Linked DNA regions of Sus scrofa. The main gene of each other region encodes a partner of the protein of the gene in region 3 in a complex. Links are inferred from orthologs where the notes say so. Each region holds a gene or a part of one and is shown on either strand. Other genes may lie near its edges.

What was found.
Region 1: the proteins of GNAS (region 3) and GPR161 are in contact, whole or in part, in a cryo-EM structure (PDB 8SMV), measured with the Homo sapiens proteins. The link is inferred for Sus scrofa from reciprocal best matches to the Homo sapiens genes GNAS and GPR161. Residues at the interface, in NP_000507.1 of Homo sapiens: His41, Lys216, Val217, Phe219, Phe376, Cys379, Arg380, Asp381, Ile383, Gln384, Arg385, His387, Leu388, Tyr391, Glu392, Leu393, Leu394; in NP_001254539.1 of Homo sapiens: Arg125, Ala128, Val129, Leu130, Pro132, Met133, Met137, Ile211, Val214, Ala215, Lys218, Ala219, Lys267, Ala268, Thr271, Ile272, Trp327.
Region 2: the proteins of GNAS (region 3) and ADCY9 are in contact, whole or in part, in a cryo-EM structure (PDB 9U3P), measured with the Homo sapiens proteins. The link is inferred for Sus scrofa from reciprocal best matches to the Homo sapiens genes GNAS and ADCY9. Residues at the interface, in NP_000507.1 of Homo sapiens: Ile207, Glu209, Phe222, Arg228, Arg231, Arg232, Lys233, Trp234, Ile235, Gln236, Phe238, Asn239, Glu268, Leu272, Ser275, Ile276, Asn278, Asn279, Arg280, Trp281; in NP_001107.2 of Homo sapiens: Ala381, Phe382, Arg383, Phe1070, Glu1072, Tyr1075, Glu1076, Glu1080, Cys1081, Arg1083, Val1084, Glu1087, Asp1091, Phe1152, Asn1155, Met1156, Leu1157, Trp1158, Phe1159.

Annotation. Positions count from the first base shown.
Region 1 is NC_010446.5:82,843,242-82,848,113, forward strand, and holds the start of GPR161 (G-protein coupled receptor 161), read left to right. Parts: upstream 1-1,702; 5' UTR 1,703-1,922; intron 1,923-4,872. UniProt on the Homo sapiens protein: Key negative regulator of Shh signaling, which promotes the processing of GLI3 into GLI3R during neural tube development.
Region 2 is NC_010445.4:38,284,561-38,288,657, reverse strand, and holds part of ADCY9 (adenylate cyclase type 9), read right to left. Parts: intron 1,896-4,097; coding exon 1,736-1,895; intron 746-1,735; coding exon 597-745; intron 1-596. UniProt on the Homo sapiens protein: Adenylyl cyclase that catalyzes the formation of the signaling molecule cAMP in response to activation of G protein-coupled receptors.
Region 3 is NC_010459.5:59,032,684-59,037,297, forward strand, and holds the start of GNAS (guanine nucleotide-binding protein G(s) subunit alpha), read left to right. Parts: upstream 1-1,422; 5' UTR 1,423-1,764; coding exon 1,765-1,903; intron 1,904-2,168; exon of another isoform or gene 2,169-2,236; intron 2,237-4,614. UniProt on the Homo sapiens protein: Guanine nucleotide-binding proteins (G proteins) function as transducers in numerous signaling pathways controlled by G protein-coupled receptors (GPCRs).

The DNA.
Region 1 (4,872 bases), on a different chromosome or scaffold from region 3:
TAAAAGGGTTTAGCTCTCAGGTTCTACAGCATTAGGCAATTTACTTATGTTATCTCATTTCATCTCTTTAACTCCACAGATAGGAAGGTATGAGTATGCCTAATTTATATATGAATAAGCTGAGATTCAGAGAGGTTAAATAACTCCCCCTGGGTCACAAAGCTAAGCCAGTGTCTGAGTCGATGCAAATAAAAAATAAATAAACAGGAATTTCAGAATGAAAGTCTAAAATACTCTTGAGAACAGACTGCTTGAAGCACCTTCAGGCATCTGGCTTATTGGTGACCTAGACTCTGAGAGGAGTTTCAGCTTCCAGTTTTTGACCAAATAAAGCATCTGTCTCATAGGAATATTAAGCCACCCCATTTACTTTTTGTGTCCTCATTATCCCATTTGTCCCTGAAGACAAGCTGGGTTTTACATCAGGTGCTCTAGTAAATTATCCTTCTAAATGGTACCTTAATGGCCTAATAAGAAGAAGAAAGCAACTCCCCCAGTGCCAGTCTGTAGACAAGGGACTAACTAATGCATTTATTAAAGCAGATGGATTTTAGAGGAATTTGAATCCTGGGAAGGCCGTCACTTTTTGCTGGAGTTCGGTAAACTAGGCTTTATAACTTTTTTTTTTCTTTTCTCCTTCCAGCACCCATCTGCACCATATGGAAGTTCCCTGGTTATGGGTCGAATGGGAGCTGCAACTGAGGCCTAGCCACAGCCATGGGTAACACCAGATGCCAGCCACATCTACACCTACCTGCATCTTGGGGCAAGGGTTGGGGGGTGTTCACTGAAAGAGGTCAGGGATTGAACCCGCATCTTCGTAGCCCAATGAGCTACAACCTAAACTCTGATAACGTCTTAAACTGATTCTTTTGCTGCCCTGTTTCTCTCCCTTCCTTTTCTTCCCTCCCTTCCTAAGGCAGTTTTACCGTTCGGTTCAACTTTTTTGTCCCTTTCTTAAGATTGCTACACAGAAAATACAAGAGGCTAGGGATGGCACATAACGTGGGGAGAAGGGACGTGGAAAAAAAGCAATATGAGAAGGAATTGTTCTGTTCTCTGATCTGGCCGCACCCTGATCTGTGTATTGTGATTATTGCTCCCCGGCCTTTAGGTTCAGAGCGAGGGGAGAGTAGCATTGTAAAGATCTGTTTACACCCACCCTGCCACTCGCAAGGGCTCTGGGGTCCGCAAAGGCTGGCTTCGAGGTCGATTCACTGTGATATTGCCAGGGCACAGGACAGTGCCTGGATGAATGAAAGGGGAGCAGGAAAGGCGATGCCAGGAGGAGTCCACGGCGAGATAGGAGCAGGAGAATGGGACTGTGCGGACCCTACAGGAAGAATCCGAAAGTGTGATAGAGAAATGGAAAAGGGGATGTCCCAACGGCTGGAACTGAGACGAGCAACGGGATCGGGGAAGGCCCGAGGAAGGACCAGAAAGGTTTACGGGAGAAAAGTGGTGCGAGCCGAAAGGGTAGGGGCGAGACAAAGAGCAGGAGCTGAGGCCAATCGTGGGAAGAAATGGCAAAGTGGCCGGGAGGGAGGGCAGACGCCAAGGAAGGGGCGTGAGGGATGGGAAGCGGCGGCGCCCGGGAGGGGAGGGGCAGCTGCGCGCGGGGCTCGGGCGGGGCCGAGCGGGGGATTGGGGAGGCCCGCGGGCGTAGGGGCTGCGCCGGGGCGGCGGAGGAGGGGCGGGCGGCGCCGGCGGAGGAGGGGCGCGAGCGCCGCAAAGTTACTTGGCCTGCGCCGGGCCGGGTCCTCGTGCTGGTGGCGGGGCGGCGGGAGGAGCGAAGCGGGGCTCCGCGGGCTGAAACCCGAAACCTCCGGTCCCCGAGCGCGGCCGGGAGGAAGGAAGCAGCGGCCGAGGCGGGGAGGCGGCCCGGCCGGACCCTGAACTGCTGCTGCGGCGGCGGCTCCTCGGTGAGTACCGGCTGGGGCACGGGCGGGGATGGAGTGGGGGTGAGTTCATTGTGTCGGGCTGGAGGGCACGGGGGTGCAGGCCGAGCGGGGTCTCCGCGCCCCCTTCCCCCAGGCCTCCCTGCCCCCACAGCGCTTTTCTTCCCTCCGCGCCCCCTTGGAGGTAAGGGGGATGTCCCCCCCGCCTCAGTCCGTTTTGCTTCGGGGAGCCCTGGCTCTTTGTGGGAAGATCTTGGGGGCGCGCCCCTCCTCTACATCGAGGGGCTTCTGAGAGGCCCTTGCCTCTAGCCTGCCTGGTTTCTCCGGCGCCGCCTGAAGCCCCCTTTCGAGACCCCCAGGAAGGGAGAACATTGGCGCTTCCCCAGAACCCAGCTGATGGGGGTCGTGCCCCCTCGGTCCATGGAGCTTTACGCCCTGCTCCGGGACAGATGTGTGGGGCTAAGCGGCCTCGACCCTCAGCTGCAATCCGTGAGGACCAGGTGAGTTACATCCTCCCAGTCGGGGCTCAGGGCGGTGCTACTGGAGCTGGGCGGAGGATGCACCCAGAAGTCGCCCGGCCCAGCTAGCCGCCGCCAGATGGGCGATTCTCCTCATATCTGCGAGAGGGAGACTCGGTTAGCTTTGGGGGGACTTGGTCTGCTTTCTGCGCCAGAGCTTAACCCCCGTGCAACCTTTTGATAAAGATATGTAGGGTAAGAATGTCTGTTGGATTCTCGGATGCTCTGGGGTGCATCAAAAGGATCTGCTCTCTAGTAACCACACAGCGGTGCGTTGGCATCACTTTATCGCACATCTTTGAGACTATTTTTGTCCGTTAATGTGTCTTTAATTCGTTTTGTGAAGTGCTTTCAAGAGCAGGTCATTTGCTCCTCCTTGTGAAGGTGGTATGGTTTTGGAGGGAAACGGTTTCAGTTCCTTGATGGGGATAATGATAACACCGAAATCATTAGCCTAAATCAGCCAGCGGGGCGTGGGGGTGAGGTGGGCGTCATTGTGCCCTCTCCCCATCCAGCCAGCACGGATTCAGCCTCACCTCTTCTCCTCCTGTGACCTGGACCTGGAAATGAGCTTTGGAGAGTTACTACATTGGGAAGTAGTAGGTGGCTTTCCCTTATAATCCTTCTTACTGCAGCCAGGAAGACAGGTGAGGAAAGGCATTTTCCAGGCCCCCAGAGGAAAGCAAGGAAATGAGAGGGACCTCAGATCGCAGGGATAGGGACTTTTCATCCAACTCTCTTTAACTGAGCTTCAGTCATCCATTTTGGTCACTTCTTCCACAGCACCCCTTTTTTTCCTGTCTCAATTTCACACTCATACTTCTAAAACGCTTCCAAACACTTTTATATACACTTTTAAATTTCATTCATATAACAGCCCTGTGAAGTATTTATAAGCCAGTTTTACAGGTGAGGCAGCTGAGACTCAAAAGGGGAAAAGTACTCTGCTCAGCAAGCAGGGAGCCAAGATTGAACTCAGGTTTTTTGACTTAATGCTTTTCATTCAGGGCTCCATCACACAGGTGGGTCCTTGAACTCAGGACTTTGTCTTGCACTACAGCTCCATCACCATGACAGGAAGAATAGGGATTCTTCCCAAAAAGGCCTGCCTTGCATTTAGAATTGAAATTCATGCTGCAGGTAGTCAAATCATCCTCTTTGTGTTGCAGCCCTGTGCAGTGAGTTTGAGAGATGAGGCTGGACCATGTGATCAGAAGGGCGGGGTTGGTTGGTTGGGTTCAATGGAAGGCAGAATGGGCTAAGCTGAATCTAGAATGTCAGGCAAAGGAGGTACATACAGTTCTGTAATATAAACTTTGCTGCCAGGGCCAGTCAGGAAGCCTGCCTGGGTGCTGGAGGAGAGCAAGCAAGAGAGTTGTGTGGGGGCTGTGTGTAGAGCATGCCTTGGTGGACAAGGTTCTAGCACATTGCTTGATCTGAATTGGGTAGGGGGAGGGGGAAGCTGCAAATTTTTGTGGAAGAAAGCTCCATGTTTTTAAAGTTGGCAACTAATTCAAAACATTTTGCAAAATGTACAGGACAACCAAATTATGTGTGCAGGCTGGTTATGATCTGCAGACTGCCAGCTTGCAACCTTAGGAAGTACTTGCTGTTGTTCCAAGGTGCAATAAAGCATGACTAGAGGGGAGAAGTGGTGTTTTCTGGCTGTTTTTCTTTGAGATCCAAAAACATCCACAGAATTGGAGATACCTATCAGTGCTACCTGGAGTTTGGAGGAAGGATTGACTTTATGACTCAATACTTCATTCATTCAGCCAGTAGTAATCTCATCTGTGATTCTAGTCCTACCCCAAGAGAGTGCTTACAGCTAGTTTTGATCTGTTTCCTTGGCCGATTTATATGCTCAGCTGGGTGGAGGATGGCATTGATGGAAGATATGTTGAGGGAATGCTGGGAGCATTCCCAAGGAAGCTTTGGGAACATTCCACATTTTCAATGTGGCTAGAGATAAAACAATGGAATATAGTAATTTTTTAGAAGTATGAGTTATTACAAAAGATTTTTAAAATATAAAATATATATAGGAAAATAAATTTAAGTTCCTCCACTCCTCTCTCCATCTGAGAGGTAACTACTGTACAGATATTATTTTCCAGGTCTTTTTCAGTGCAGCAATACATTAGGGAGTCCTGCTGTGGCTTAGCAGGTTAAGGACCTCACATTGTCTCTGTGTAATGTGGATTCGATCCATGACCTGGCTCAGTGGGTTAAGGATCTGGATCTGGCATTGCCCCAAGCTGCAGCGTAGGGCACAGATGCAGCTCAGATCTGCTGTTGCCATGGCTTGTGGCATAGGTCTCAGCCGCAGCTCGGTTTAGACCCCTGGCCCAGGAACTTCCAAATGCTGCAGGAGCTTCATGTGCTCAGGAACTTCCATATGCCATATGTATGTAAAAAAAATACATTGGGATCATATATAATTATATGGTATGACT
Region 2 (4,097 bases), on a different chromosome or scaffold from region 3:
AAGTAAGTCACAGTGACTCCAGTTAATAATACCATAATACCGTATTTGTGGAGTTCCCGTTGTGGCGCAGCAGAAACAAATCCGACTGGCATCCATGAGGAGGTGGGTCTGATCCCTGGCCTCACTCGGTGGGTTAAGGATCTGGCCTTGCCGTGAGTTGTGGTGTAGGTAGAAGATGCGGCTCAGATCTGGCAATGCTGCGCTGTGGCTGTGGCGTAGGCTGGCGGCTTTAGCTCCGATTTGACCCCAAGCCTGGGAACCTCCATATGCTGTGAGTGTGGCCCTAAAAAGCAGAAAGAAATAAATAAGTAATAAAATAATAACACCGTATATTTGAAAGTTGCTGCAAGAGTAACTCTTAAGAGTTCTCGTCACAAGAAAGCAAACATTTCTGCGGTGACAGGGGTTAACTGGACTTAGTGTGGTCATCACTTCAGAACGTACACAGTATTAACCCAGTAGGTAGTGCGACCGAAACGAGCGTGTTCTCTGCCCACTACGCCTCAATGAAAACGAAAAGAAACGGTGTGGAGGGAGGAGACGCAACAGCATGGGCAAGGTGGTCCTGTGTGGAGGGTGCGGCCGCGTGCACGTACCTGTCGGGGCAGAGGGAGGCGTAGAGCAGGAGCAGGGGCCCGGCCCCAACGACCGTGGCCAGGGAGGACCTCATCCAGGAGCTGAGCTGGCAGAAGTTGCAGTAGTGCACCACGGCGATCAGGACAGCCGAGCCCGTGAACACGGTGGACTGCAACAGGGGCGGCCCGGGTCAGCAGCCCAGCCCCTTCCTCGCCACGCCGACCCACCTGCCCCCCCGCCCCCCGGGGCCCCGAAAGCAGACGCAAGGCCCAATGACCTGTCCTCCTGTTCAACAAAACACACAGCAATTTCCAGGACAGACGGTCAGTTGTGAGACCAATGACCCAGGGCTCTCGGCGACAAGCCTCACTGGTACTAAAATGCCTCTCTCAACGTGTGCAAGTTGCACACGTCACCTTGGGGGCGGGGGGGGGGGGAGGCAGACGGCCCTGGGTGAGAACGGCCACCGTGTCATCAGTTACCTCCCCAAGGTCTGTCCTTCAGGCACCCTGCTGCGTGTCAGGTGCGTGTAAGTTAAAGCGTCAAATGCGGTCAGCCTACCCAGTAACTCATGCTTCACTCTTTGGTACCAAACGTGCCATCTTTCCCATCAGCCTGAAATCACTCTTTATGAGGTTTAACTTGGCAGCTCCTTTCCTAATCAACAGCAGCCGATCCAGGAGCAAGTCGACTGGGCCAGTTCTGCAGACGAACTTATCATCATTTTTTTTTCCTCTTTAAAAAAAAATTATGTACAGCTGCAGACGAACTTATCATCATTTTTTTTCCTCTTTAAAAAAAAATTATGTACAGCTGATGCACAGCAGCTACCGCCCTGAAGCATCTGGAGATGCGGGACACGCCGCCTCGTCGAACGTGGAAGGAAGGAACAGACGTGGGACTTCGGGAACACGGGGGGAGGCTGGAGGGACACAGGCTCTGGGGACTCTCCCCAGGGCGTCGCAGGGGGTCCCTGGGCTGCCCCTCTCCCCCACCTGTCTGTTCCTCTGTCCTGTGAGCTCAGAGAACCGACAAAGAGCACGCACCTCTGTAAGGGCTGTGTTTAAACAGCTGACCTGAGCCGAAAGGCTTCTTTAAAAAAGACAGTGATGAGGGACCCAGAGGGGCGCAGACAGCAAGTCCCCAGGCCTTTACTTACGTGTATGTCCATCTCAAATTTGGAGGTGACGTGTGAGTAGACGGCGAGGGCGGGGAGGGACACCAGGATGGCCCCGATGCAGTGGTGCGGGAGCCAGCCAGCGATCCACTCCAGCAGGCGCTTGGTACAAGCCATCACGTCCTCCAGGAAGAACGCCATCCTGTGTGCGTGGGGGAAGCGGGGCGCCTGTGAGGGCTGAGCCCACCGGGGAGACATGGGCGCCAGCCCGGGGGGCAGGCAGAGCCCCCGCTTCGGTCACTGCTGGGGGGGCAAGGACAGTGGACTCTCTCAGCCCATCACCCCTTAGTTTAAGGTCACCTGCTGGGTCCTGATAAGACGTGCTCTAGCAGAGGCCTCTGTGGGCCTGAAAGGCATGTAAGAGCCAGGCCGGCAACACTCTCAGGCCCTGGAAATGTCGGTCCCCTGCTGCCTGCCTCCGGGGCAGGAGGTCTCGAGTGGGTGGCTCAGGAGGTGTGTGGAATTTGGGGGGCTTTTTGTTGCCTTGGTGGTCGAGGGTGCCATGGCCTCCAGCAGGCAGGACTAGGGGTGGGCACTGTCCTGTGATGGACCATGAGCCTCTGCCCTGCGCCCCACACGTCACCGCCCTCCAGACACAGAAAACCTGCTGAACTGACCTCTACCTAGAGCCTAATTGCCTTTCGTTTGCAAACAAAACAGGAACATACAGAATTTTCCAGGAGCGCAGCAAATGGCTAAACCAGACAAGCTTTATCTGGGACATCACCAAGGGTTGCTCAGCCTCTCAGAAGTCCTGTCACAGGCTCCTGGGGCTCGTACCACCAGACACACTGTACCAGGAGCTGTCACCTTCTCTGCGCATGAGGGCAAACAGCTGACGCCTGTGGTGTGGCCCCCAGGTGGCGGAGGCCAGCGCACTGGAGGGGAAGCGTTACCTACATGATTCTAAGCGGCTTTCTTGCCGTTTTGCCTTCACGTGGAGAGGTGGCCTTCCACTGACTGCCTTTGAAATTGTGGGTCCAGGTGGGCTACACCTGCAGGCAGTGAGGCGGCACTGCAGACTGTTTCTCCCAAGAAGGGGGAGCTGAGCGCATGGGACTGAGAAACCCTGCTCTGCAGGAGGAATTCCTGGGTCGGAAGCAGCGGGAGGTGGAGGGGAGGGCGCTGGGGGTCCGCCCTGGGAGGGAGACCCACCACAGGCCCTCCCCAGAGCTGGCCCTCGGTGGAGAATGGAGCTGAGAGAGGTCCGCCATGCTCATCTCAAAGGCACAAAGCCCGCCAAGGCCTCTCGCACGCACCCAGGGTCCAAGCCTTTGGTTCCACAGGTAGGTCCTGGGATCCCCGACCCGCCCTCTGCAGAGCAAGAGGAACCTGCAGGCACAGCTGGGCCCGGGGTCCTCATGGCCCACGGGCCTCTGCGGACTCCAAGCTGACTTGGCCCAGATTCTTTCCAACTGGGTCTGAAGAACAGGGGACAACCTTGAAAACAATTCTCAGAACAGGTATGGAGACACCCTTGCCTCAGAGGAATGGAGCTCCCCACCCAGTTGGGACAGAGACCCAGGGCAGGGAGGGCAGTGACTGCACGTGGGTCCCGGGTACCTTGGCAGGGGCACGGAGCCAAGGCCCAGAGGGCAGGCAGGCCCAGGGCAGGGCTGTGCTGTGGGGTCACCTGCCCTGGGCAGTGCAGCTCCAAGCCAGTGGAGAGTCCGGGGAGATGGGGGGATGTGCTTTAGAGGTCTCTCCGCCTGGGGGAGGTGGGGGGGGCGTGGGGCCTCTGGCCGTCAGGGACAGCCCTGGGCAAAGAGCTGAAGGGGATTGGGGGGGGCAGTCGGGAAAGGAGGGGGCACGTGTCCAGCTTGACCACTTCAAAGGGAGGGATCTTGCATCAGGAAGCCTCAGGGGCAGACCCAGAGCTGTGGTTCCCTGTCCTGGGATGTCGGGAAGGGGCAGAAGCTCAAGGCCAGGGCCGGTCTCCCCACTTCTCTCTGCTCCCTCGTGTGGGCTGTCCTGCTGAGAGCCGCAGGGCTGGAGGGGTGGGCCCAGTGCAAGGACCCAGGCCGTGGCACGAGAGGCGCTGTGATGTCTGTGTTCACGTGAGCGGGGGCCTGGGTATCTGTATCCAGCAGCAACGCTGTGAGCTTCCTGGGGGGCCACACTGAACCCTGAAGGCAGGCTGGGCAGGTCCTGAGGGCCCAGCTTCCCAGAGGGGCCCAGCTGTCTATTCTGACCCACAATCCACTTTCAAACGGGTGCTTCCCTTGTTATCACTGAGCCAATGCTCTAGATATCAGCTCAGAGACCACTGCCTGAGAGAGCAGACGAAGACCCAGGCCTGTGCTTTCCTCTCCAGTCTGGTCTCACCGCTGGGCCCAGGAGGGCT
Region 3 (4,614 bases):
GCGCTGGCCGAGCCCCACGCGCCGCAGAAGAAAGGGGACGCCGAGAAGCCCCCCAAGAAGCCGGCGCGAGACGCGCCCCCCGAGAAAGAGAAGTTCCTCACCGAAAAGGAGCAGCGGAAGATCGAGAAGAAGCTGCTGGAGCAGAAAAGAAAAGAAGAGAAGAAGAAGGAGAAGGAGAGGAAGAAGTTGGAGAAGATGCAGAAGACGAAGAAGAAGAAGAAGAAGGTGCCCGAAGCCCCGGAGGAGGCCCGAGGCCCGGGGGTCGCCGCCGCCGCCGCCGCCGCCGCCGCCGAGGGCGCCGCGGAGGGCGCCGACGGGGGCGGCGTGGACGCCGGCACCGTGGGCATGAGTAGGATCTGGGTCGAGTGGGAAACGGACTCGGACTCGAGCGACGAGGACGACGACGACGACGAGGACGACGACGACGAGGACGACGACGACATCTCCGACGCCTTTCCAGGCTTCAGGGGCACCTCGTGGGGGTCCGGGCTGCTCAAGATCGGCGGGCTGAGCTCCCACCTGCCACTCCTGGCCTTCCTCGTCTTCTCCGTGCGCAGCCCCGCGTGGGTGCTCGACTTCCTGCTGCAGAAGCGCCCGGAGCAGGGCCGCGGCTGCGGCTTCTTTTTCGGGGCGACCTGCTGCTTCCGAATGTTCCTGGGCTGCGCCTTCTTCTCCTTCTTGGGCGGCCGGGCCAAGCGCAGAGGCCGCGGGCGCACCGGGGCCTCGGGTGCCTTCGGCTCGGGCCATGGCGCCCGGCGCCGGGGGCTCGACGAGCGGTTCGTCTAGTCAGACCCCCCGCCCCCTCCCCCGCCACCGCCACCAGACACCACCATCGCTGTGTAGTGTGGAGTTTTATTGAGCATTTGTGTGTGTGTTTGGACACATTTTCCTTTTCGGTTGCTCTGTCCTTTGGTTCGTGCTCGCCTCGCTTTTTCCACACTCCCTGCTCTCTGGCTCTCTCTGTGTCTCTCTCTTCTTTTCGAAAATTTTCCTAAGTCCGGGCTCGGGCTCGCGCTCCCTCCCCTTCCGCCCACCCCGGCCCCTCGGCGGCGCCCGCGGGAGGTGGGGGGGGGCCTCGGCCTCGGGGGCCGCCGGGCGACGCGGCCCGGGGGTGGAGCGTTGGCGTCGTGCGAGGGGTCGTCACCGGCTCGGAGACGCCCCCTCTCCCCCCGCGGCCGGCCCCGTTTGGGGCCCGAGCCAGGGGGGTGAGGGGGCGTCTCCCAGGCCTGTCCCGTCCCGGGCCGGGCGCAGGCGGAGGGACCCCCCTCCCCGGATACCGGGGGGGCGCCTCCCTCCGCCAGCTCCCGCCCTCCCCGCCGCCGCGGCCGCTGCCGCGGCTGCTCCTCATCCCTCCTCCTCCTCCTCCTTCCACCCCCCTCGCCGCCGCCGCCTCCTCCTCCCCCCGCCTCCCCCCGCCCGCCGCGGAGCTTTGGGTCGGGGCGGCGGCGGGGCCCCGGCCGAGGCAATAAGAGCGGCGGCGGCGGCAGCGGCGGCAGCAGCTCCCGCAGCTCCTGCTCTGGTCCGCCTCGCCCCGCGGCGGCCATCAGACCCCTCGGCTTCGGCGCGAGGGGCCGGGAGCCGCGCGCTCCCCTCGGTCAGACCGACACCACCCTCCCCGCGCGCTCCTCCCCGAGGAGCCGAGCCCGCGCCCGGCCCGCCCGCCCGGCGCTGCCCCGGCCCTCTCGGCCCGCGTGAGGCCGCCCGCGCCCGGCCCCGCCGCCGCCGCCGCAGCCCGGCCGCGCCCCGCGCCCCGCCGCCGCCGCCATGGGCTGTCTCGGAAACAGTAAGACCGAGGACCAGCGCAACGAGGAGAAGGCGCAGCGCGAGGCCAACAAAAAGATCGAGAAGCAGCTGCAGAAGGACAAGCAGGTCTACCGGGCCACGCACCGCCTGCTGCTGCTGGGTAAGGGCGGGGCGGGGGGCGCCGGCCCCGGCCCGGCCCGGGGGCCCCTCGGGGCGCCCCGCAGGCTGCGCGCGCCGAGCCCGCCCCCGCCCCGGGCGCGCGCTCCCGAGCCCGCCGCCCGCCCGCGGGTTCAGTCTCTGGGGGGCGAGGCCGGAAGGGGGACCCCGGGGCGCAATTTGGCCGGGCGGGGGCTCAAAACGGGGCGGGGGGCCTTGGCGACGCGGGCGCGGGTCCCCCTCCCCCGGCCCGCCGCTCTCTGTCTCTCTTTCGCCCTCCCCTCGCTCTTTTCTCTGTCTCTTTTTCCGCGAGGCCTACACGACGCCAGGGGTTTGGGTGCGTGTTGGGGAGGGGGAGGGGAGTCCCACAGGGCTCCCGAGACTGCGACAAAAAGAGGGTTTCGGGGACAGGAAATGGGGTGGCGGGCAGAGGGAGGGGGACCCGCCTCCGTGGGGTGTGTGATTTGTTGGGAGAGGGACAGGGAGAAAGAAAGAAAGAAAGGGGCTAGTAGAGGAGGGGGTGACGCGGGGGGGGGCGCCGCAGCGACAGAGGGGGCCTCGCCGAGGGGAGCTGTGGCGGGGGAAGTGGCCGAGGAGAGTGGGGGGGGGGCGGGTGACATCAGCCCCTCGGAAGGGACCGGAGTGGTAAAGGTGGTGCAGCGAGGGGGAGGGGGCGCGGGCGAGTCGTGGCGCCGGACTGGGGGGGGCGGGGAGGAGGGAGCGCGGCGGCCGCTGGGCGCGACTTGGTGCGTTTCGGGCAGGACACACTGTGTGCGCGGAGCAGACGTGTCCCGGGCCGTGGAAGGAAGAGGAGAATCAAATAAAATGAGCCCGAAAAAAAAAAACAAAAAACAAAAAACATGGAGTTAGTACGCTAAGTGCCCAGTGAAGCCAAATGACACGTCATTTTACAGTATGACCTTTTTTTCCCCTTCCAGATATGCAGGCTTTTTGAAAAGCAAAGAAGAGAATTAATTGTAGCAGCTGCTGCCCCCCCCCCGCAGCAGCGCCCCCCCATAAACCATTAACACACACACACACACACACACATTTTCCTGTTAGTCGGCCACATTGAGAGTGCTTTGTTGAAAAAAAAAAAAAAAAGACATTCACAAATCAGAACTGGAAAATGACATTTGTCTGGAAATGGCTTCTTGGTCTGGAAATGGCGTGGTTTTTCTGTCCTTTTCAAGGTGGGAGGGGGGCTTGAGAGCGCTTTAAGGAAAAAGACTTTTCCCAGGTGGAAGGAGATGAGAATACATTAATTAGTTGTTTGTCAAGTGACATTTGGTTGTTTGGATTTGGGTTTTTCTCTTTTGATTGCGGTTTTTCCTCTCTGGCCAAAAAAAAAAAAAAAAAAAAAAAAGGCGTGGTAACTATAAAGAGAGGGCCCTTTCCCCCCTTTTTTCCTCCAAGGTGCTGCTTTGGAAAAAATAAGTAAAAGAAGCATAAGAGAAATTGTTGAAATGACCAGAAGAATCACACAAGCATTAATTAGTATGGAAGTTTTCCACTTCCTTGGTAATTTGGCTGAGTTAATTTGTGAATTTGCTAGGTTAAGACCTAGTTCATGGTCGCATATCAACAAAACAGCTTGATTGTAAAGAATAAAATATAAAAGGGCTGTTTTTTTTTCTTTGTGGTGGAGCAGGGTTGGCTTCTTTTGATGGGTCACGTCTTTGTTCTCCTGGGTCCAGGTTCATCTAAAGCAGAAAATTACTAATTAAGTGAAAATAAGTCTCTTTGGTGTTGATGCATTTGCAATGACAATAATTAAATGATACATATGTTGGAGTGTTGGCAAGACTTCTAAAGGTGGGATTATGCTGTGTGACTATTAATATGCATATGATTTGATTTCAAAGTATAAGCCTAGAAAAGTCTAGAATCTTTCCTAGGCACACTAGCTTGCTAGTTGAATACTAATTTCAACCAAGTGTGATGCTAACGGTACCTTAAATCTCAAACACCTTTGCACAATGTCTCCAGTTAATTTGGGACTGTTGCTCTCCACACACCTTGCATCACTGGGCTAACCTTTCCCCAGGTGTCCTAGCCCTTGTCAAAGTAGATTGACAGCCTCTGGCGCTGGGGTTTACTGCCCAAGCCAGTGTCACACATTTGCACTTTAAAATGGTGATTCTCAGCAAATAATGCCCCCCCTCCCCGAAAAAGAGGAAACCTAATGATGCCCAGAATCCTCTTTTTAATCCATCTTAACTTGACACCATGAAAATCAAGTAAATTACAGCAGCTCAAAAGACCTTGCAGTCGTTTTTTCCTTCCAATTCTAATTTCATAAATGTGGAAACTGAGGCACAAACCTGTTTGTGCCTGTAAAAGAGGTGCTGCACATCTGAGCACTTGTGAAATAGGAAGATTGGAGATTCTGATGAATACTGTGTATTCTCTTCATGGGATCTCTTAATAGGGCCTTTAATATTTTAATTTATGAGAGTTAGGCTCATTAAGATACAGTGTTTGCTTTGAAATCAATGTTTCTGTGGAAACTAATTTTAACTTTTTACAGATATCGATCATAGCCTTGTGAAAAGGCAAGAGAAGGAGGAATGCTTTGCTCTCTGGGCAGTAAAATAAAACAATTAATAAAATTAAAAGTGGAAAAAAAGGGGGGGGGCTAAAAACCCAAACAGGTTTGTGTGGGAGGAGGGGAAAAAAAAATGGTCCCCTCAGGATAATTTGTTAGCGTTATCT